4 linked regions of the Arabidopsis thaliana genome follow. The main gene of each other region encodes a partner of the protein of the gene in region 4 in a complex. Each region holds a gene or a part of one and is shown on either strand. Other genes may lie near its edges. The genes, in order: NYE1, HCAR, ACD2 and NOL.

Region 1 (4,627 bases), on a different chromosome or scaffold from region 4:
ACGGATGCAACAAGATCTAACCCTTTTGATTTAATCACGATCTTTGGGTTTCCATCAAGATGCACAACATTTTCCCCCAAAATTTTCCAAAGTGTATATCTTTATTCAATTTTTCTTCATATATCAAAATATAGTTTCTTTTGTATTTATTTACTTACGAACACAACATTTTATAAAATAAGCCCATGATAATAATGCAATAATTCGTTACCATTCTCTTATATTACTTGTTCTTCTTCTCTTTCTGTATTTGGTGTATTTGGTCGTAAATTAGATAGACGAATGGGGTCAGAGAAAAAAAGTCATCTTGATTTGGTTATAAAATGAAAAAGATATTGAAGAAAGAGACCAAATAAATCCAAGAAAATAATTTGGAATCATTAGGAGCAAGAAGTGGCTGATACGCTTTGCAAAACCACCAGAGAGACAAAGTCTTTTGCCATCTCTTTACCTTCACGTTTCTCCTTAGTTTCTCACCGTTACACCGACGAATTCGGTCCTTAATATACGTCTATTGTTACTTTGGTGATGATTCTCATGAATATCTTCATATTTCTAAACTATTCTTATTTGGGATATTAGTATAACTTTAAATTGGTGATGATTCTCATGAATGTTTTGATATATTAAAATATATATGTTCATTAAACAACAATTTATTCATCTTTATGTTTGCATTGCAGTAGTACTATACCAGTCTGTCACCTTTAATATTAGCTAATCTGTAAGAAATTTACATTTTGATCTTGTGGATGAGATACAATACAAGTATACAACTATGATAAAGACTTCAGAGTAGACACAAAATACCATTTGAAACTTTAAAATCTGTATTTAACCTACAAATAATCATTATTTTCCTATACCACATTATGTACACCAAACCAAACCAATATTTAGATCCACCAAAAGGAAAGTCCTGCCATTTCCTTTTCACTTTGTACAAACTACCAAAAGAAAAACTTGTAATTTGATATTTAGTCACTAGAGTTTCTCCGGATTTGGAGTAGCAATTCCCTCAGTCTGAGTCCCAGAGTAACCATTTACACCTTCATTACTAAGACTATGAGACCATGGAATCGAGCTAACGGTTGGAAAACAACAACTACACTCGTCCGCACACCGAGCCTCGGGAAGAGTCTCAGTCTTGTGACCATCAGGCGAAACAGCTTCCCAAAGCGGACCCCAACACTCGACTTTGTTGAACTCATTGACATTAGAATGGAAATAGACCCAAACAAGAGCTTCTTGTAGCTCAGGATAGTTGTTCAACAAGTTCCCATCTCCATGCACAAAAGCCTTCAACACCTGTATATATCAAAACAATAAACATTTTGTTTTACATGAAACCAATAAAAAGTTTCTTATGAATTTGGGAACTTACCACAGGTAGTTCTTTGCAAAAGATGAAATATCGAAACTTTGCAAAGAGATCTAAAAGGAAATGGCCACCGCTTATGTGACAATGAACGTGAAGCGACATTTTCCCTTTCACTTTCTTCCATTCTGCCACAACTTCATCCCGGTATAGCCTATTTGCCCATCCTTGCAACTATAAAAAACATTTCTATACATATCAGCCTCTAAAGTGTTAAGAGATTCTGGTGAATATAGACACATACATAGGTTAAAACAATCATACATAAGCCTCTAATATTTGCTCCAAATAATCAAATACATAAACATTCTACTCCTATAAACAGAGCCATGTAGATATGTTAAGACCAGAGAGAGAGGTGTTTTTACCTGAGAGTTGTTTATGGATTGAGAAATAGCTAAGGTTAGTTTAGCTGTAATGTCACTGTGAGTGAGTGTGTAAGTCCTAGGGAGCGTTGAAGGATGCTTCTTCTCATCAACCCCTAAGAAGAGTACTTTCAATTTGGATGATTCGAAAATCGCCGGTCCAAACAACCTTGCAACCTGCACCGATCCCAAAAGTTTCAAGTTCCATCAATAAAGACAGAGGCATAGATATATCCATAACTGAGACACATAAAACAAAGATATGTCAAAATGATTAAGAGAACAAATCCTTACGGGAACAATCGATTGGTTCTTCTTCTTGGATCTTCTATTGTTGAAGAAGAGTGAGCTGCTGCTGCTACTGTTACTCCGTTTGTCTGAATAAGCTGGTTTCAGCTTCGTTGGTAACAACATAATCGCCGACAAACTACACATCTCTGCTCTCTTGAAACCCAAATCAAAAGCTTCAATATTTCAGAAATAACAACAGAACAAAACGCCACTAAATACAGAGAGACTCCTTTCACGAAGCTTGGATACAATTTTTTCACGCGAGTTCTTGCGTGTTCGTACACTGAAACCACAATCAAAAAGATTGTAACTTTAAGAAATAAATATATAAAAGACCCAAAATTTGAGCTTTTCCTTTGCTTGATGATTGCTTGAAGCTTTGGTTTTGAATTTTCCTTTTGAGATCTTCCAGGAATTTAGGGTTCTTTGTGATGCGTATTGAGTTGGTTCTTGTGTTTAAAAGGGATTGTTGCTTCACGTTTCACACTTCCGTGCCCAAATCTGAACACTCTTTTGGAATTTTTCTGAACACGAGAGAGTGCCACGTGTTCTCTAATCTTTGCATGAGCTTCCCCATGTGTCGTCATGGTGGGGCTAACAACTGGCTCTAACCGTCTTTTTGGATAACTTTAGCCATCTCGTTGCGACAAAGAGACACAGATTCGGCTCTAACCGAACCTAACTCACGTACTGTAGTTGTCAGTCGAACCTAAAGCAATACGGTTTAGTTTCGGTTCAATTTAATGTCATTCGACTCGATTACTCGGTTTAGTTATTAGACCTGTGAAACTCGAGAGGCTTCTTCGCTTGAATCGTCGTGAACAAGGACAACAAACGCAGGTATTGATGGAACCGGAGGAGTCAGAGAGTCCCATGTTGATCCATAAGGATGTTAAAAAGGGCTGAAATTTGTGATCAGGTCCAGGTCCATTAAAAATATCGGGCTAAAATTGGGCTGGCCTGTTACAGAGCTTTTATTTTTTTCTTCTTCTTTTACGTTAAGCGACGTCGTATCTTGTAAACAACAAAACACGAGTACTGTTTTTTCTTCTTCTTTCTCCTTCAATCTCTTCCTCAAATCACTCTTTTTGGGGTTCGTTTTGTTTGTGTTGTAAGCATCCCTGTTGTGCATTTCGTTTATCCAGGTTCGTATTGCTTACCTAAACAAGTTCAAGTTTTCGATTTTGGTTTCTAGGTGTTTACCAGTTTCGCCATTTTGTGGTTTATTGTTTGGATAATTTGATTTCTTTGGATTTTGCTGATACCCATTTGTGTGTATAGAAATTTGATTAATCTGGATACTAAATTTCGTTTGGAGAAACATTGAACCAAAGGAATGCGAAATCTTTTGATGATGATTGAATAGTTTTAGTGCCTGCTAATACTTTAGAACAGAGTCAATTTTTTAAGGTCATGTTATAGAATCTGAGTCTACTTGTCATTTGCTTTGGAACAGGTGAATTCTTGCAAAGCCTTGAGCAGCTTTCAGATGATAAAGACTTTGGTCTCTCCTTATAGTGTATGTACTCTACCTCCACCACTCTTTGAGTCTTATTCTTGTTTAGTTCAATCCACGTGATCCAGTTTTAATTTTATTTAATTCCTCCTATGCGTCTGTTAAAGTCAACTATTTTATTCTTTATGTAGGGATTTGGATCTCAGAAGTTGAAGTTTGACAGATCTTCTGAGAAAGTGAAGACGAGAGCAGTAAGAATGGAGCTCACAATCACTCAACCTGATGATTGGCATCTTCATCTCCGTGACGGTGATCTTCTTCATGCTGTTGTTCCCCACAGGTCTTATAAACATCCTGCAATCTTTCTTTTCTTTCCTTGCTTTACTTTGTTTTGCAGCCACTTTTTTGTTTGCTATTGGTGTTTCTTGTGGAACCATTGTTTGTTATGTATGAATTCCTCAATCACAATCTTGTGCTGGCGTTGATGCTTGTGCTGTACATGATGGTTAATGGTGTATGTAATTATGTGCAGTGCGAGTAATTTTAAGAGAGCGATTGTGATGCCGAATCTGAAGCCTCCTGTCACCTCCACTGCAGCTGCCATTATTTACCGGAAATTTATCATGAAAGCTTTGCCATCTGAGAGTAGCTTTGATCCACTTATGACACTTTATTTGACTGACAAAACTCTACCTGAAGAGATCAGGCTTGCAAGTAAGTACCTGTGCTTTCTCCATCTTGTTGCAAACTAATCAGATACATTTTCATCTTTCTGATTGAGATTCTACTTGCTAATGTTCAGTTTATGCATATATGATCTTGTTATTAGGGGAAAGTGGTGTGGTTTATGCGGTGAAGCTGTACCCTGCCGGAGCAACAACCAACTCTCAAGATGGTGTCACGGATCTCTTTGGAAAATGCTTACCGGTACTAGAAGAGATGGTCAAACAAAACATGCCTTTGCTGGTAAATAAATCATACACCACATAGACTTGTATTTTTGTCTTTGTCTTGTCTGAGGAATGTTTTGATTAGGTTCATGGGGAGGTCACAGATCCGAGTATCGATGTCTTTGACCGCGAGAAAATCTTCATTGAGACAGTTCTGCAGCCTCTAATCCAACGCCTTCCGCAGCTG
Region 2 (6,837 bases), on a different chromosome or scaffold from region 4:
TCTCAACGATGCATGTTGTGTTATCTCTATGATGATGTTGTTGATCAGGAAAAGAAACAACTAATTTCATGCTGTTTCATTATTGGAAGAATACTCTCACAAGTTAGAGCTGTTATTTAACTGATTAAGGAATTATTAGCCATTTTGTAATCATTATATTTGGCAAATGATTGATTTACACATGATTGTCTTGGACAGTCCATATTAAAGTTGTTTCATGGATTACAACCTCCAGGGAACACAAGTTGAAAATACTGAAACATGCATTTCTGTAGGATATGCAAAATCCATTAGGGATGAACAATGTATCTAATTTGAAACACAGATGGATAATAAATATAACATTATACAACTTTCTCAGAAAAACTTGAGTGAAATCATATATTATATATGATGTTGGATCTAGTTATAAATATATATATACTGAAACAGATACAGATACAGATCCAAAATATGCAATACGTAAATGAATTCTCTAACATTGTTATATGTCAAATTGCAACTCAAAATTAATTCAAGGTACCAAAGTAAGCTTTATTTCACTTAAATATATTATTAGAAAAAACGTTTACATGCTCTGTATTAGGACAATGCCTCTGGTGAGAAAAAATCAACTATGGTGCAAAAGAGCAGAGACATTTATGAGTTTCACTTGAGGTCTGAGAGTCTCTGCAGCAAAGTCATTGAACGAGCAGAGCAGAGACTTGACTAACAAAAAGACAAAAAAAGAAAAAAAGAGAGAGAGTAAAATTTGAAGTTTCCAATGTGTGAAATATGGTGATGAGTAAGTTAGTGAGTGAGTGAGTGAGTGAGCGAGCGAGTGAAGCTTAACCATGGTTCCTTCTTCTTTGTCCAAGCAAAAAAAAGACATTAAAAGCTAATTCCCCCCAACTGTGTAAATGTCTGGTTCCCATCCTCTTAAAACAGTTATTCATGTTCTCATGCAAAACCCTGCAACCTTTTACTCGGACATCACCTTAACCTAAAGATATGGAGGAAGGAACCCACATGGGTTGATTTGGATTCAGCCGCTGATTTAGACTGTTTCTTATTCTCTGTTCTCTGCCAAAAAACACCAAACCGACCCATCTTTTCTTGCCGGTGTCTTACCAAATTCACGAGGGAAATAGTTTTGGATATTACTAACATACTACAAGTTGAGAAACAGTAGGACCAATGTACATTTACTCACTTGTAGGATGAAATATACATTTGGAAACTTACATGAGAAAGGCCTAAAATGTTCATTTCTTGGAGAGCATTTTATCTATTTGGCCGTTTTTGTTGTACATTTCCACTATCTTTTTGGCATATGATGGCATGTGGGTGTTTGCTCTGTAGATGGTAATGCAGCTTTGGTCATTAGAGAACGATCCAATAGTATAGAAATACACAGTTGATCGCAATAAACTTTTATCTCTAGGAGTGTGTTTCAGATCTTACCTTTGCTTTCCCCATTTGCGGTTTACGTACAAATAGTTTCTGATGGTATGGTAGTCCAACGAGTACCGAGCAAATTCTAGACCCTTAGGACCAACCTGAAGCAAGAATGGTTTTGCAAGTTAAGAAACTCTTTGACTTTTTATGCAATGAGCTTGTTTCTCGGTTTGTGTTCATAAGGAAATAATCTTACCAAATTTAGGATGAACGCAATAATGTTTCCAACAAATAGTGGCGCTGGCTGAGCAGGACCTTGACCTAAGAAATTATAGACTAGTTAGAAGACTTTAGCACAATGTTAGTTGCATGCATTTGCTGAGAACTTTCTTTTTGGCATCTAGCTTTGCTTGAAACTGAATGTCTTTAAGCAGAGACGATTCAAGAAACAAAAGAGTTTCGAATACGTTTGAAAACATACCAAACTTAGCAGCATCGTCTGCCTTAACAGTTTCTGTCACAAAAGGTCGCCGATCACCCTGAAACAACAACAAAAGGTGTGTTTGTTCATGTTATTTGTTAAGTGGACTCTTAAAGTCTTAAATATAACAACAAATATAAATGTTAGAAACTTTACGCTGCTGATTGTTGGAGTGATCTCCAAAAGGTTTTCTACCAAGCTGAGCATTTCTTTCCCACGTTCATTTCTGTGGTTTAAGGCATAAACAAAACTAATTTTATCCAACCACGAGAACCTATATGGTCCATGTCAAAATACGTAGAAATATTGACCTCACTGTAATATACTGTGGATGGTCAGTCATGTTCAGACCTGAATACTTCGGAACACCCATGTAACCGATAACCAAATCCTAGATAAACAAGCTCATACATATCAGGAAATGTTTGAAATTGGCAGAATCAAAATTAAGTGAAAAGACATCTTAATTGCTAGAGAAACACTCACCGCTAATGCATTTGTGTAATCAAAGCAGCTGCAGAATAAAAAAGATAGGGTTTGTAATTGTAGACAAGTTTTAAAAATTTCCGACAGGTTATCTATTTCAAGGTATAGAGACAATGCAGAGACTTGTATTACCTGTAACACGATGGAGCTATGACATCTACTAAATCGTTTGCAGGTAGAGAGAAATAGGGAACCTGCTTTAGCCAAAAAAAGTTTTTTAAAAACGGCTTTCAGCTGCAATTGCAGAGCAACACAGTATTTTAAGCGAATTTACCTCTTCAATGTGTCCATCCAAGTGTTTGAGTTGGACCTATAAGAGAAATTGAACAAGATTGGCATCACCAAAGAAAATGCACAGATAAGTGATGGTTTTGTATTAATGCTAACCTTGTAATCTTGCATAAATTCATAATGGAGAACAGTCTCTGGCTCTTTACTAGCTGCTTTCAGAAACTTGTCTAGTCCATCTCGTGTTCCGTTGTCCACTATTAATCAAAGATGTTCTTTTTACTTGTTTAAAAATGTATAAGCATTTCTAGACCTAAGCATACAAGACTCCGAAATAACATATACAACATGGAATGTTCAAAAGTACAACACAAGAACTAGTTGTGAAAGTTCTGGAGAAAAAACAAATCTAGATAGGATGAGGAAAATACCACAATTGGTGCCTAGTACATACAACTTTTCCAGATTCAGATGCTGCTCCACTGATCTCAATGCTGCAGTATAAGAAATCACTCTGCATTACAATACTATGAGAGTCACGATATGGAGAAACTTGAAATATACGTCCACAAAAAAGTATGTTGAGCCCATACCTTGCACTTGGCAACCCACACCGCAAAACAGAAGACGCTTCACTCCGGAAGCCTGTTACAATACAAATTCTAAGTTCATGTGAAATGGATTCAGTGATTGAAAACACAAACAAGAAATAAGGGTTTGGCAAATAACCTCGATTAATTCAAGAGTATTCAGATTAGGAGACAGAGTTGGCTTGACACCTCTTGCAGCCAAAACTTCTTCAGGTGTCCTTAGAATGAAAAGAAATGAAACATCAATACGCTTCTATATCCAGAGTAACAGCAAAATATGGATCCACATCTAAAAAATGGCGACTTGAAGAAGAATGGACTCAAAATAAACCACATTAGGAAGGTGGAAAACCTGGCTAATACTGGTCTTGGAGATAATCTGTCTTCAGGATCACTGTAATATTTCAATAAATCAGTTACATGGATAGATGGAAAAATCTACAGCATGGTCGATAAATGTAAGCCTAGTCCATTTCTGAAATTCAACAGTAGTTTTACCTCTGCACACAAACGACAGCTTCAACCATATTAGATTTCAGCATCTCAATGGCTATGGTTGTGACAATTCCAGTCCACTGAGCTCCTGCAACCGAAAATAGAATGAAAAGTAAACAACAAAGCTAAGCTAAATTCATCTTGAACGAGACACAAAAGTGCCCTAGCTTAGATTGAGCCAGGAAAAGAAGTTAGTAGAAAATGTGGAACAGTGGAAGGGAAGTGTCTATTTACCTTCGACAGGCTTCAACTTACGAGCATAGAGCTGCTCTTGATGCACCCCAAAATATGTATCTTGTAAGGAATCTGCTTTCCTTCCTCTACCATGCACAACAGGTTCCAAGCTCTGCACAAGAACTTAAAATATTAACAAAATAAGAATCTTAGCCCATCAATTAAAAAGAGTATCAAATCTTATCCATTTATATGGACATTACCTCAATCCTTGACATTCCATCTCCAAGAAATGCACATGCCTCCTTCACATGGGCAATGTAGTAGGTGTCGCATAGCCCGCACTGACTGCAAACCCATCAGAACACCAAGGATCTTGATAAGAATGAGACAAAAATAGTGAGGTAAACAAACAAACAAACAAAAAAGAAAGAAAAAACCTGCAATGGTCTTTAGCTGGATAGGTTCCTCCGGGTGGGATAGGTCTGGACTTTTCTCTCCAGTCTTCTCTTAATTTAACCTTCTTTTTTGGCTCTAGATTCATATCTGCAATTAAAGCCATAAGAGAAGGGTTCATGCAGGCTTCAGAGAGAAGATAAAAACACACAAGACAAAGATCGATGCTATACGAAACAAAAATCTGTTCCGAAATTCTGATGCTTTCAAACAGAATTGACATTATGCAGTAATACATACTAAGTTAACACAAGATTTCTATCTTCAAACTCGATAGTGACAGCTGTGGAAGACCAAATCAAGCATTCGACAAACATTACCACTATGTTCGAAAAGAAAACTCCGAATCTTAGATAAAATTTCATCCCTTTAACGAATTTCAGGGATCGGTTACACTGAAATTTTGTATAAGACGGGTCTTTTAAAAAACTGAAGAATCAACGACGTGTGTAAAACAGAGTGCTATAAAGAGAAGACGTGGCAGAAATAAATTGAGCACCTTTGGAACGCGAAGAAGAAGAGTTAACGACGGAGAAGACTGGAGGAAGGAGAGAGAGCCTGGAGGTGACGACAGTAATCATGGTTGCCCAGCCAGAGAAGAAGAGAAGAAGAGAAGAAGAGAAGAGAGTAGAGAGAGAGAAAAGAAGATATTTTTTTGCTTTTGAACTTGGATATCTTTTAGGAACCAAACTTGATAACCAATTCTTAACCGGACTGAATGGTTTTGGTTCGTAAGAGCTCTTTCACGGGCTTTCTCCATTTTTTTATTATTAAAATTTTTAAAAAGTTATAAGAGAGTTTTAATTTTTTTTCATATTCTAATGGTAAGCTCTCTTATAAGAGTTTTCTGAAAAATAAAATAAAATTTAAAATAATTATATTTCATATAACTTAATAACTATTGTAAATCAGAAAATATTAAACATATATTATTTTGAAACATTTTAAGAAAGATATGAAAATAAAAACACGGAATAACGATAAGTTCTGTCGATTGTTGCAAAATTTAAAGATTGAAAATAAGAACAAATTGTTTTAAAGAATAACAAGATTGTCGATTAAATCGGTTTTAATTTAAGGACTAAAGTGATAATTTGTATAAAGTATAAGCTCTGATATGATTATAAGTGACTCTATTGCTATATATCTGAAATTCATCTTCTTGTTTCTGTCTCCTTAACTGAATCCATAATGTGTTTATATAGTTATTCATCATATGTTCACAGAATTCTGTGTTTCTTTCATGTGCTAATTGGTACAATGTTAGTTTAATTTTAAGAGTTAAAAATATTTGTACACAAATTAAAGTTTTCACATAATAGTTTTCAGTCTCATATATTGCAACAAGTCTCTATGCAAGCTAACACAAAGGCAGTCTTCCTATGCAAGCTCTTTAGCACATCATTCAGATTATCTGATCGAACTACATACATGGCCACTAACACATAGTCACATACTAACCATCTCCTAACTTGTATTGGTTAAAACGCTCAATTTATAACACCACAACATCGACAAGAAATCGAGAGTAACAACTAAAACATGCTTCCACGACTCTCTATGATTCTACAAATAAACAACAGAGACTACAATAGCATTACTCTAGTTACAAGCAGAACCTAGACAACATAACAAAAGCCAATTCTTGATTCAGAACAAGGAATGATGACTAACTCAAAATGATTGTCAAAGAAACCCATTTCAATACTCTAAAATTGGAAAGCATCAATATAGCAAATGATCATAAGTGGCTGATACAAGGTCCAAAGCATGGATTACGAGAAGAAAACAAAAAATCCACCTTCTTCTTCTTCTTTTGTCTTTTTAGCCTCTGTTTGTTTCTGTTCCTCTCTTACAAAAAGAACTCACCGATCACGAGAACGTCAAAGCTCGATGATCACCATCCATTTTCACCACCGTCAGAACCGTCGGAACTGTAACTCGGTGATCACACCATCAATGATCTCGCCACCGTTTGTCTCTCTGTTTTCTTGCGTTTCACGATCTCTCTAGCAAATCATGGCGGATCTCACCGAGAGTCCCAAGTATTGACGCAAACCACGCGCCGTTGTCACGAGACTCAGGTATGTTGCTTCTCGCTTAAATTCCTATTTGATCTCTTGGAACCTTGGATTTTTAATATTTAGTTTCTGCACAAAAAAGGTCTCTTTGAATTAGGTCAATCAATATTTAGTTTTCTAACCGCAATTTCATCGGAGGAACTAGGGTTTGATCTTGTAGTTTTTTTTTTTTTCCTCAAACATCAGCTTTATTAATAATTTGCTGTAGCAAAGTCGCGATGTAAAAAATCAGTTATTACAAACGGGATATAGTTATAGCAATAAAACTGAGTGTTCAAAGGAAGTTGTTGTTTTGCCAGAGCATCTGCAGCCATGTTTGAAAATCGCCTTGTCCAAGTAAACTTGCATTCTTCAAATTTTGATCTCCAAGCGCTTATATCTCTTATCCAATTAAAAACTGCAAAATTTGAAGACCGACCATTGACAATCTCTGAGACTTCTTTATTGTCACCTTCAAAGTAAATTTTCC
Region 3 (4,223 bases), on a different chromosome or scaffold from region 4:
TTAGATTTATTCACATTATTGTCGTGGTCAATGATCTTAAACGCCTTAGACAATTCGTCTATGGAGTCTCGTTCTCCGAATTTGGTTGTCATCATATGCACAAATTCGTCGAAATCTATGGCTCCACTTTGGTTTTTATCTACTTCTGCCATCAATTCGTTTATTTGCTGCAACAATGAACATGACCAAACTAAATACAAGTTGGTTCTACGTACAATGATCTAAACCATGAAATTAAAACAAAGAAGAAAAAAGGAAGGAAAACAAACAAACCTGATTATTCATCTCAAATCCAAGAGACCTGTAATCAGCTGATAATTTTTTAGTACTATACTTAACTAGAACTTGAAGAAAATAACTTTGAAAAAGAAAGAAAAATTGCCGTTGACCTCATAGCAACGTTGAGCTCGCTAGCATCGATGCTACCTACATATGAAATGATGCACTAAATCATGTGAGCAATAACTTTGTAAATCGGATAAAGAATCGGTTTAATAGTTTACCTGAACCGTCTATGTCGAAAAGATCAAAGATCTCTCTGATCTCTCGTCTCTTCTGATTGGTCAACCCATAAGTCTTCCCTTTAGGCTTTAGACCTCTTCTGAGCTGTGCTGCTTCCGACATGTAATTCGCCTTCCGGAAGACAAAAAGAAAAACAAAACCGATGAACAAAGTAGTCGGATAAAGAATCTAAACTAAGAGACAATCGAGAAAAGAAAACACTAACCATTTCTTGTGTAGGAAGGAAAAGGATGATCTGATAAGAACAAATGGATTAAATGGATGATTTAGTTAATTTGGTTTATGATGCATGCGATGACGAGATTAGTTGCCGATGATCTGTCTCTTTTTTGTCTGGTTACTAACTCTTTTGAAAGCGATTTAGCTTTAAAACTTTTAGTTTTGCACGTTTATGTTCCTTCGTTAATATTAATCTATATATTATATTGGTTTTGCTAATGTAAAATGACATGATCTAGAGAACGAGAAATTTAACAAAACATCCATGTAAAATAGTGAAAAAAAAACTTTAAAATCCATGAGAAAAACAATAATTCAAGACTTTTTTTTACAGATAAATTAGAAACTTGATTGATAAATTTACAATCCCATAGTATTAAAATGAATCAGAAGGAATCCGATTCAGAGATGATTCACAACAAAGACGTTCTTAGGAGAAAACAGGACTTGTTTGATGGTCATCTTGCGTTCTTGTGACATTGATGAAAGTAAATGTTTAGTACAATGAACATTAACTGATGTATATATATAGTTACATAATCTAGAGAACACCGAAAGCTTCTTTAATAGCGTGTACAACACGGGAGGAAACTTCTTCACCAAACATTCTCGGAAACTGCAAATCCAAATCGTCCTCTATGCTCTTCCTTCTAAAGCTTTTATCTCTTCTCTCCAACTCCATTCTCTCTTCTTCCCCAACCACAATCTTCTCTTCTTCTTCCTTCACACACCGCTCCAACCAAACCTCGAGAACCTCCTTAGCAGCTGGACTAACATGATCTCTCAATATCTCCTCCAACTTATCCTCTTCCTCCGCATCAATCTTAAGCATCGAAGCAGTAGGAGAGAAAGCAGAACGGACAAAGAGAGAAGGAGACACATAAGGGTTAACTTCAGGTAGCTTAAGGAGAGATTGTCGATGAGAATCAAGAGCAGTGTCTTGGTAATACTCCTTGAGATAATCCGGGTTAAGAACAAGATCTTTACGATGTGGGAGGTCAAGGATTAGCACAAGCGACTTGGAACTGCTCTGTATTAGTTCGACCACAAAGTTTGGAGCTTTTGTTGATGAGTTTAAGAATCCAGAGATGCTTGTTATATTCAAAGATACTCCTGTTGGGATCTTGCAATGTATCCAACTTCCTATAACAAAATCAATCTGCAAAACAAAACAAACTTTAAGATTCTCTAAAAAGTTTTTTTTTAGGGTTATGATTTACATCGAAATTGAAGTCTGTTTCTACTTAAAATCAAGCAATTGAGCTCTAAAACAAGCATGCAAAACAGTCAATTTCGATCTCATAACTGAAAAACAGAGTTAATCGTCGCAAGTACCGGAGAAGATTTGTCGCCGGATCTGATATGAAGAGATGCTTCGGCGGAACCGTTAGGGTTATTGAAGTTTCGTACATCTGGAGGGAGGTTACAGGGAAGGAGTTGTGATTGGAGGCGATTCTCCACCGTCGACATGAGATCAACCATGAGCTGCTTCCGCGTGGGTGACACATACGGGAACTCCATAAATTTTCGGCGGAGGTGATCGTCGTGGTCTTCCATGGACTGGAATTGAGCTCGAGGTCTGAGATTCTTTGAGAATCGCGACGGTTTTGAAGTTAACGGCGAGAGATATGATGGAGAAGAAGAAGAGTAGAGAGTGTTGCAAAATATCATCGCCATTTTTTATGTGGCTATGACTAAATTATGTCTCTTCTTTTTTATTTACACTTTTGAAGAAATTAATTACTATTTTACCGGGATTATAGTTTTGTGGTTTGTAATATATTTCTTGTGGTGAATTATTACATACACATATTTAAATAAAATAAACTATGCTTTTTAATTTTTAAATGGTTTGAGAGTTGGTAAGTGATCTTCTTCTACTCAATCAAGTGATGCAAGTATTGGGCCAAGAGCGACTTAATTGGGCAAACAAATAATAAGAATAAATTTCTAAATTTTTCGATTCTTAAACAAGTAAATGATTTGTTTGTTGTAGAGCTAGTTGGAATTATTTTTCTCTCTAGTTAAGTAGTGTCTTTGGAACCTTACTAAATTTTTATTTAATTTCATAGCATTTTCTATTTAGTATATTGCTGTATTTTTTCGATTCCTTGAAGACATCTTTATTTTTATTTTCCTGATAAAGAGTTCTAGAAAATGTTTCTGTGACTTTTATAAAGACAATTTCGAGGGAAAAATATTCAACGGATTACGTAAAAACACGGAAACCACCTACTACTACTTGCAAAGAAAATCAATCAAACATAAAAGTAAAATTTCTTCCTCTTTCACAAGTTTTCAACTAAGTAGATGACCTTAGACCAAGTATTTCACATGCTTTTTTACATTATGAAGACATAAATTAAGCAACAATAAAACTTCAACATCTGTTTTATTTTCTTAATACACTAATTAAATTATATAATACATGAAAATCCATTTATATATTTGCGTTGATCCTTCTGGACCTTCTTCACCTTTTTAAAACATAAAAATAACTTTTCTTCCTTACGGAAAAAAATAGTTTTTTAAATCATTTTTTTCGTCGTCGTCGATGACGTGTCACACGCTGGTTTGAACAGTCTTCTACTCTTTTTTTAGTTGCAGACTTTGCTGCTTTTCCACAACGGCGCGTGAAAGTCCACGTTCTTTATTTCCGTCATACGGGACCCACTCACCACATAATTCTTTTCATCCCGGTCCCTCTTTTTTCTCTCTCCTTTCAACCACACCCCAAACAATTTCAATCCTTCACCTACCCCCTCCTCTGCTCCTCCGCCGCCGTCGCAACCTTCGCACTCACTCTCTTCGTCAGACTCCACCGGTTTAAATTTCCCTCCTTTGATCATTTTATCGATTTGTTCCGGTCTTACTTTCAGATGACCCGTCAAGAACGTCACTAGCTCATCGCGCTGCTTCTTCGCCGCCGCGAGCTCCGAGCTCAAGTTATTGTTTTCACGTTTAAGCTTCTCGTTCTCTCCTGATAAATCAGCAACCATGTTCTCCACCGAACCAGGATTCTTCGACGAACCGGGTGATGACGTGGAGCTTGAACCGTGATCATCACCACCACCAGAATTAGACTCAGAAGGCGAACCAACAACAACACATTTCCCCGCCGTTGAAGCAATCACCGATTTACGCCGTCGTATGTCCGTCAACAGATCCTCCCCGCCTCTCCGGAAATAATCGTTTGCAAATTCCCATTTATCCGGTACAGTTTTACGAAATCCCTAAACCAAAAAAAAAAAAAAAAAAAGAACAAGAACATTCTCAGCTTCTAGAAGGTTTTCTCACCAACCCCCAAATTATGAGAAAATTACGAAATTGGCTAACCAACTACAAAAGAATGATTCAATTCACCAAACGAATTAAATGAAGCATTAAATTGAGAGTAAATGAGTTTTCGTTAGAGTGAAACTCACGTAAGTGTTGAGCTGACGAATGAAGCTTGAGAAATTATTATGCTTGAAGTATTGAGG
Region 4 (5,466 bases):
CACTGATAATTGAATTCGAAAACATAGTCAGCTCAGATTAATAGAGGAAGATCTCAGTAACAAAAACATGGAAATCTACGAATATAAAAAACATCTCCCTCTCTATCCTTCACACTATTTGCCTCAATTTCAACATTCACCAACAAAGTCTAACTCTCAGGCAATGGATCAATTGGAACTTAACAAAACCGCAACAAATAAACTAACTCTTTGAGAGATTTCCAATGAATCAATCGAACCTTTTGAGATTGGCGTAAGCCTGAGCTCGGCGCTGCTGAATCTCCAACAGACTCCGAAGCAGGACCAGGGTTTGAGAGGCGACGCCGGAGCCCACCGTCGAACTAGTAGACCCGACACCGGAACCGCCGCATTCGTTCTCAATATCGCCGGAGAGGGAATCTCTGAGGGAAACCTTCTTCTGGAAATCTTCGGCACTCATCGTCCGATCTTTCTCTCCGACTCTTTTCGTCTTCTCAAACACGACAGAGAGAGAGAGACGAAGAAGCAAAGAGAAAGTTGCGAACTAACCGGTTTAGTCGATTTTACTAAATTGAACCGTAATTTGATTTTAATCGCTTTGATATCAAGTCCGGTTGAGGCGGTTCTTCGGTTTTACCCGGTTTGATTGGTTTGGAATGACATTTTTGCTGCTTGTTAAATTGTAAACTAGACCACAGGCATTTGGATCCCAGTCTCGACAAATCTGGTCTGATTCTCAAAATAGTGCCTATAAATTATTATGGTTGGAAAAAAAAAACTGACTTTTAAATCATCACTTCAATCATTAACTGAGAAATCTCACATTTTTGCAAATGAGCTTAAATCCAAATTGTACAATAGATTGCATGTTTTGGAGTTGTCATGAACAAAATGTAGAGGTTTTTATTTACCATTGAACAAACTGAGAAAGCAATACAATTCTAATACTTAGTTTGACACCTACTCTTCAGTAACATACCTGTTCTTCCTTGCTCCCAACGCAACTCTCTGAAACAAATTCCCAAAATTTGACAAAGAAAAAAACAAATTGGTTAAGTAATTTGCAGAAATAGTTTACATGCTTTGATTTACTTCTACGCAGAGCTATTAATCGTCTTAACTGAGAATATTTTGGTGTAGGCTTTGATTCCAGTTAGGAAACGGATGTAAGTCGGCTTCATAGATCCGCTAGCCGGTATTGCCCTTATGTTTGGGACAAGGTACTCAGCCACCTGCAAACGAATGTGTGATCATGAATCATGGGGCTAGAGATTAGAGATCGTGTCAAATTGTTGTGCTAAAAAGAATTAAGAGTTAATGGGTTCTTACCACTTCGGCTGGCTCTGCCAAAACATTAATGAAGAACTTGGCCTGCAATAGAGAACGTATTAGAGAGAATCTCTTGAAATGGAATCTAAATATTTCCTCAGTGTTAAGTCATCGAACTTGTTTTGTAGTTGCTCCGGACATGAGCAGATCAGTTGTGACCATTCCAGGCTGCAACAATAATCCAGAGAAAACACATTAGAATTATGATCATGTTTAGATCCTGAATTCATTCAAATTGTTCAAATAACTATAATCCATCCATTCTATTCATCTCTATGCGCATGTCTGTATCAGTGTATTTAGGAAGACACTAAAAACAACCAAAAATGAAATGAAGCAATATATTGTATTCATACCGATAGATTATGCACCACGACATTTTTGACATCTTGCATCTGCAACTCTGCCTATGAAAGACAGGAATTACTAGAGAAGTCATATAAGGAGAAGGGAAAACGAAGAAGAGTTCAACAGATATAACTCTGGCATTACCTGTAATGACTTTGTCAGGTGAACGACACTCCGTTTAGTTGCACCATATGCAGCAAATCTGTCAAACGTTAATCAAAAAAATGCTATTAGACAGTACAGAGAAGAGAGCCTAAAGGAGATTTACTAAAGCATGTTCCCAAGAAACTTTAATGAATCTAGCAAACCTGGGTGTTGGTCTCCCATCTGAACCAGCTCCATCAATATTGAAGATATGACCACCTCGAGATTGGGTCAACATCATATTCATTGCCTAATAATCATGAACACATGTCAGTAAATCCAACTGATAATAACAAAAGACACGCTGAATTCATCTCCTTATAACATCTTTGACTACCTCTCGGCAACATAACATGAGACCTAGAGTGTTGGTTTTCACAACTTCACTGCATAAAGATTTCAAAAAGTAAATGACTGAAACCAATCACATAGAAACTAACGAAGAGAAGGATCAAGCTTAACACAAGACTTACATAAGATCCTCATCTGAGGCCTCTGCCAAAGGTTTAAAGCTATATGCATTAGATCCCGCATTATTTATCTGTATCATCTCAAGATGGTATTATAAGACTATTTCTATGGTTACAAAATTGAAAAGAAAACATAGTAAAATACTCTGAACAACATTAACACAGATGTCACCAACAAATGAACGTTCTTCATAGTTTTGAGAGTGTACCCAAATGTCAATGTATTTAAGATTCTTCTGACTATAAGCTACAAGTTCCCTCACATCCTTCCCTTCCGTAACATCACACTTAGTTCCCTACTAAGAGAAAATGGTTTCATGATATCAATGCACATAAAGCAAAAACCTTGGAAGACCACACGAATGGAAAAGAACAGTAAAAGAAGGCGGTACCCACACATGCTCCCCAAATTCTTCCTTAAGACTCTGAACAGCAGTCTCAACTCGTTCAGCTGCAAGACAGGAACAGCCATAACAGCAAAATTCTACTGAAGATTGGTTCTATTACTTGCTTGCATGTTTCCTTACAGACACACAAACTCTAGAAAAGGAGTTCAAGACAACAATGGGGACAGGTTCTAACCTGATCTAGAGCAAATCACAACATTGTCGCCTGCTTTCAGAAACTCTCTAGCTAATGCATATCCTATACCTGAACAATCAATAAATCAAAAACCACTCTTTAGAGACACAATGAGATAAAAAAATATGTTTTTTCCCTTCTGAAGATTAAAAACTCGAGTCAATTGACAAAGACAGAGTGAATGAAACCTTTGGTTGAGCCAGTGATCAATATGTTATACGGAGGCGTCATAGGTTCTCTTTTCCCTGAGATACGAGCTTCCACCGCCGCAGACGACGGAGTAACCGTGAGGTTTTGGCGCGTAACAACGACAGTTGCGAGACCAAAGCGTTCTGCCAGTAACCGACGCCGGCAAATAGGAGAGAGAAACGGAAGCTTAGTGACATTTGAGACGGAGGAAGACCGAAGCCTAAGCAACGGAGAAGAAGAGACGTTGAAACCACTCCAAGTAGCCATTACAGAAGCTCAAAGAGAGAGAGAGAGAGAGTTGCGTAAGCGAGCAAGCTCAGAGAGAGTTAAATGCCACGTGGCGGCATATAAGATGATAATAACCCCAATTATTGTTCAAAATACATCATAGCCCCTAAAGTTTCTAGATTTTATGTTTATAACCCTACACTATTGTTCTGCCCCAAAAACGACACTATAGTTACATAGTGACTACTGAAGTATAATTTCTCTATCTGCTTTGGTTGGTATTTGAGATCGTCCAAAGCACAGTTACACAAACCAAATCTGTCTGCGAAAAAACCTACAGAGATTCAATTACTTGCCCTTGGATCGCCTGCGCCGTCCTCCAAGGAGTTTAAGCATGTTATCAGTAACATCAGGTGGAGAATCTGCATCCTCATTGTGTTGGCCAGTACTATTATCAGAGGTATGAGTCAACCAAGCTAAGGCCTCAACAGCAGCATCTTTCTCAGCGAGCGTTTTATTCCTCTGAGGCTTCCCAACGAACTGCATTCCTTTAAACTCCACAAGTGCTCTGAATTCGTTTGTCTTGAGATGTTTTGTCTTGTACTTTGGAGGTGAGTGTCCAGCTCTCATCAAAAGTGTCTGAAGGAGACTCTTCGGGTTTGTCCCGTCTTTGGAGTGTTTGTTCTCTCCTATTTGCGGTTGGCTTGGCCTCTTTGTGTCACGGCCAAAGACAAATCTGCCTTCGCATTGGTCTCCAGCCACAAGTTCTTGAACTGCAAGCATGAGGTACTTGCCTTCTTTGTGGATGTCCATGCTTGGATCTTCAAGCTGCAAATCGTAAAGATACTAAAGGTGTTAAAGTGCTGCACTACGAACACTTTTTCCTTTTAAAATTGAAAAAAACTCGCCTTTTTTTGAAGAAGCTTATCGAGTTCTTCCTTCAGCTTTACATAGGACTCAGCCAAATTTGGATCCATGAAGAAATCAATGTACCCGTCAAGCATTTTTAGATGTCCCACCTGGAAACAACACAACATTCAATCCATTCGATTCCGGAGTATTCCATAATCTGACTAGTGTAAGGGTTAAAAAGAGGAAAATGAGAGAAATCACCTGTACTCCCGTGCTCAATGAACCACCAAAAAGGATCAAACTGGAATCAGGGACACCAGTGGAGTCCCGTATGAGTACCGCATTGACCTTTACTTTCTCTCCAAAGACTAGCCAAGGGTATGGAATTGTTGGGAACCGCGAATTAACAGAATTCTGAAACATAGAAACCGTAAAAACCATTTAAATAAAAAAGATGGCCATATCGAGAGACTCAAGTAATGATGTTGGGAAATACGAATGAAGAGGCTCACCGCGTATAGTGATACTTGGCCATCATCCATTGTCTTGAATGACATGGAAGTCTCTCTGTGCTGTGCAAAGAAAAAGGACAACAAGGTTATTTCACCGAAATCTCTGACACGAGAAAGGAGACTTAGCCAGAGACATGGGTCTTAGACTTACCACAACAGATGCTATTCCAGGGAATAGGCCAGAGCAAATGACAGCACGAACCAGAGACTGGTTGTGACTTAGCTTGTTGTTGAGAGCTAAATCATCATGAACTAAGCCAGCTTCTTTCAAAATATAGTTGAACTGCTTCCTCAGAGAATGTATCGCCTGAAGCGTCTGAGCTGACAGGAAATTCCTCCAACAAAACTCATAAGCCGATCCTTCTCTTTCAGCATCTTTCCACCCTTCAAAGGCACGAACGAGTGCCATATGGTCACTGTAGTCTTTGGCTGAGAATCTCAACTTGGCTGATAAAGCTAACTAAAATAAAACAAGGAAATCATCTCTCAGTTTGAGAGATTAAACCACAACATACTTCATAAAAAGTTATATATCCATCTATCTATTGGCTTAAAACCGCCTATAAAAACCCACTCTTCAATAAAATTCAAAAGACCAAAAAGTAAGTTTTAAAAACATTTATTTGCCAATTAATCAACCAATCACCGTACATCATGATAAAAATAAATGTTCGTCCATGAGTCCTTATACTTACGTCTTTTTTGTCTTGAGGTAGAAGGAAAGGATCTCTGACACTTAGCCCTGATACAATTGTCAGGATCGGATCAAAGCAGCGGAAGATGGCACCCATTATCAGCATTTTCCCCAACTTGGGATCAACAGGAAGAATCGA

The links.
Region 1: NOL (region 4) and NYE1 share a complex: the UniProt entries of both Arabidopsis thaliana proteins name them as parts of the SGR1-CCE-LHCII complex.
Region 2: NOL (region 4) and HCAR share a complex: the UniProt entries of both Arabidopsis thaliana proteins name them as parts of the SGR1-CCE-LHCII complex.
Region 3: NOL (region 4) and ACD2 share a complex: the UniProt entries of both Arabidopsis thaliana proteins name them as parts of the SGR1-CCE-LHCII complex.

The regions. Positions count from the first base shown.
Region 1 is NC_003075.7:12,015,792-12,020,418, forward strand, and holds NYE1 (non-yellowing 1), read right to left. Parts: upstream 2,853-4,627; 5' UTR 2,816-2,852; intron 2,744-2,815; 5' UTR 2,179-2,743; coding exon 2,038-2,178; intron 1,921-2,037; coding exon 1,747-1,920; intron 1,553-1,746; coding exon 1,385-1,552; intron 1,309-1,384; coding exon 985-1,308; 3' UTR 672-984; downstream 1-671. Other genes in the region: PYR4 (pyrimidin 4), read left to right, coding at 3,524-3,553, 3,682-3,830, 4,023-4,204, 4,320-4,456, 4,526-4,627. UniProt on the Arabidopsis thaliana protein: Magnesium chelatase involved in chlorophyll a degradation in the chlorophyll-protein complexes of photosystem I (PSI) and photosystem II (PSII). Contributes to the degradation of PSI and PSII in the thylakoid membranes.
Region 2 is NC_003070.9:1,281,625-1,288,461, forward strand, and holds HCAR (coenzyme F420 hydrogenase family / dehydrogenase, beta subunit family), read right to left. Parts: upstream 4,996-6,837; 5' UTR 4,869-4,995; coding exon 4,787-4,868; intron 4,378-4,786; coding exon 4,272-4,377; intron 4,180-4,271; coding exon 4,095-4,179; intron 4,004-4,094; coding exon 3,892-4,003; intron 3,746-3,891; coding exon 3,661-3,745; intron 3,557-3,660; coding exon 3,515-3,556; intron 3,381-3,514; coding exon 3,302-3,380; intron 3,218-3,301; coding exon 3,166-3,217; intron 3,067-3,165; coding exon 3,004-3,066; intron 2,830-3,003; coding exon 2,732-2,829; intron 2,655-2,731; coding exon 2,619-2,654; intron 2,539-2,618; coding exon 2,477-2,538; intron 2,373-2,476; coding exon 2,345-2,372; intron 2,250-2,344; coding exon 2,170-2,249; intron 2,085-2,169; coding exon 2,015-2,084; intron 1,917-2,014; coding exon 1,859-1,916; intron 1,699-1,858; coding exon 1,634-1,698; intron 1,539-1,633; coding exon 1,444-1,538; intron 1,336-1,443; coding exon 1,245-1,335; 3' UTR 539-1,244; and 1 more. Other genes in the region: AT1G04625 (Polynucleotidyl transferase, ribonuclease H-like superfamily protein), read right to left, coding at 6,207-6,296, 6,608-6,837. UniProt on the Arabidopsis thaliana protein: Probable iron-sulfur flavoprotein that converts 7-hydroxymethyl chlorophyll a to chlorophyll a using ferredoxin as a reducing equivalent. Catalyzes the reduction of a hydroxymethyl group to a methyl group. Belongs to the chlorophyll catabolic enzymes (CCEs).
Region 3 is NC_003075.7:17,440,822-17,445,044, reverse strand, and holds ACD2 (accelerated cell death 2 (ACD2)), read right to left. Parts: upstream 2,434-4,223; 5' UTR 2,419-2,433; coding exon 2,077-2,418; intron 1,901-2,076; coding exon 1,283-1,900; 3' UTR 750-1,282; downstream 1-749. Other genes in the region: CEN2 (centrin 2), read right to left, coding at 15-167, 274-301, 390-426, 504-633, 728-730; HSF4 (heat shock factor 4), read right to left, coding at 3,339-3,974, 4,167-4,223. UniProt on the Arabidopsis thaliana protein: Catalyzes the key reaction of chlorophyll catabolism, porphyrin macrocycle cleavage of pheophorbide a (pheide a) to a primary fluorescent catabolite (pFCC).
Region 4 is NC_003076.8:1,432,668-1,438,133, reverse strand, and holds NOL (NYC1-like protein), read right to left. Parts: upstream 3,361-5,466; 5' UTR 3,309-3,360; coding exon 3,041-3,308; intron 2,922-3,040; coding exon 2,853-2,921; intron 2,722-2,852; coding exon 2,663-2,721; intron 2,567-2,662; coding exon 2,480-2,566; intron 2,342-2,479; coding exon 2,274-2,341; intron 2,187-2,273; coding exon 2,138-2,186; intron 2,051-2,137; coding exon 1,965-2,050; intron 1,859-1,964; coding exon 1,801-1,858; intron 1,716-1,800; coding exon 1,665-1,715; intron 1,477-1,664; coding exon 1,426-1,476; intron 1,351-1,425; coding exon 1,309-1,350; intron 1,212-1,308; coding exon 1,101-1,211; intron 988-1,100; coding exon 940-987; 3' UTR 639-939; downstream 1-638. Other genes in the region: AT5G04910 (DNA repair REX1-B protein), read right to left, coding at 1-2, 240-439; ABO6 (DEA(D/H)-box RNA helicase family protein), read right to left, coding at 3,618-4,097, 4,178-4,288, 4,383-4,535, 4,634-4,693, 4,785-5,093, 5,329-5,466. UniProt on the Arabidopsis thaliana protein: Required for chlorophyll b degradation. Chlorophyll b, chlorophyllide b, pheophorbide b and pheophytin b can be used as substrates. Belongs to the chlorophyll catabolic enzymes (CCEs).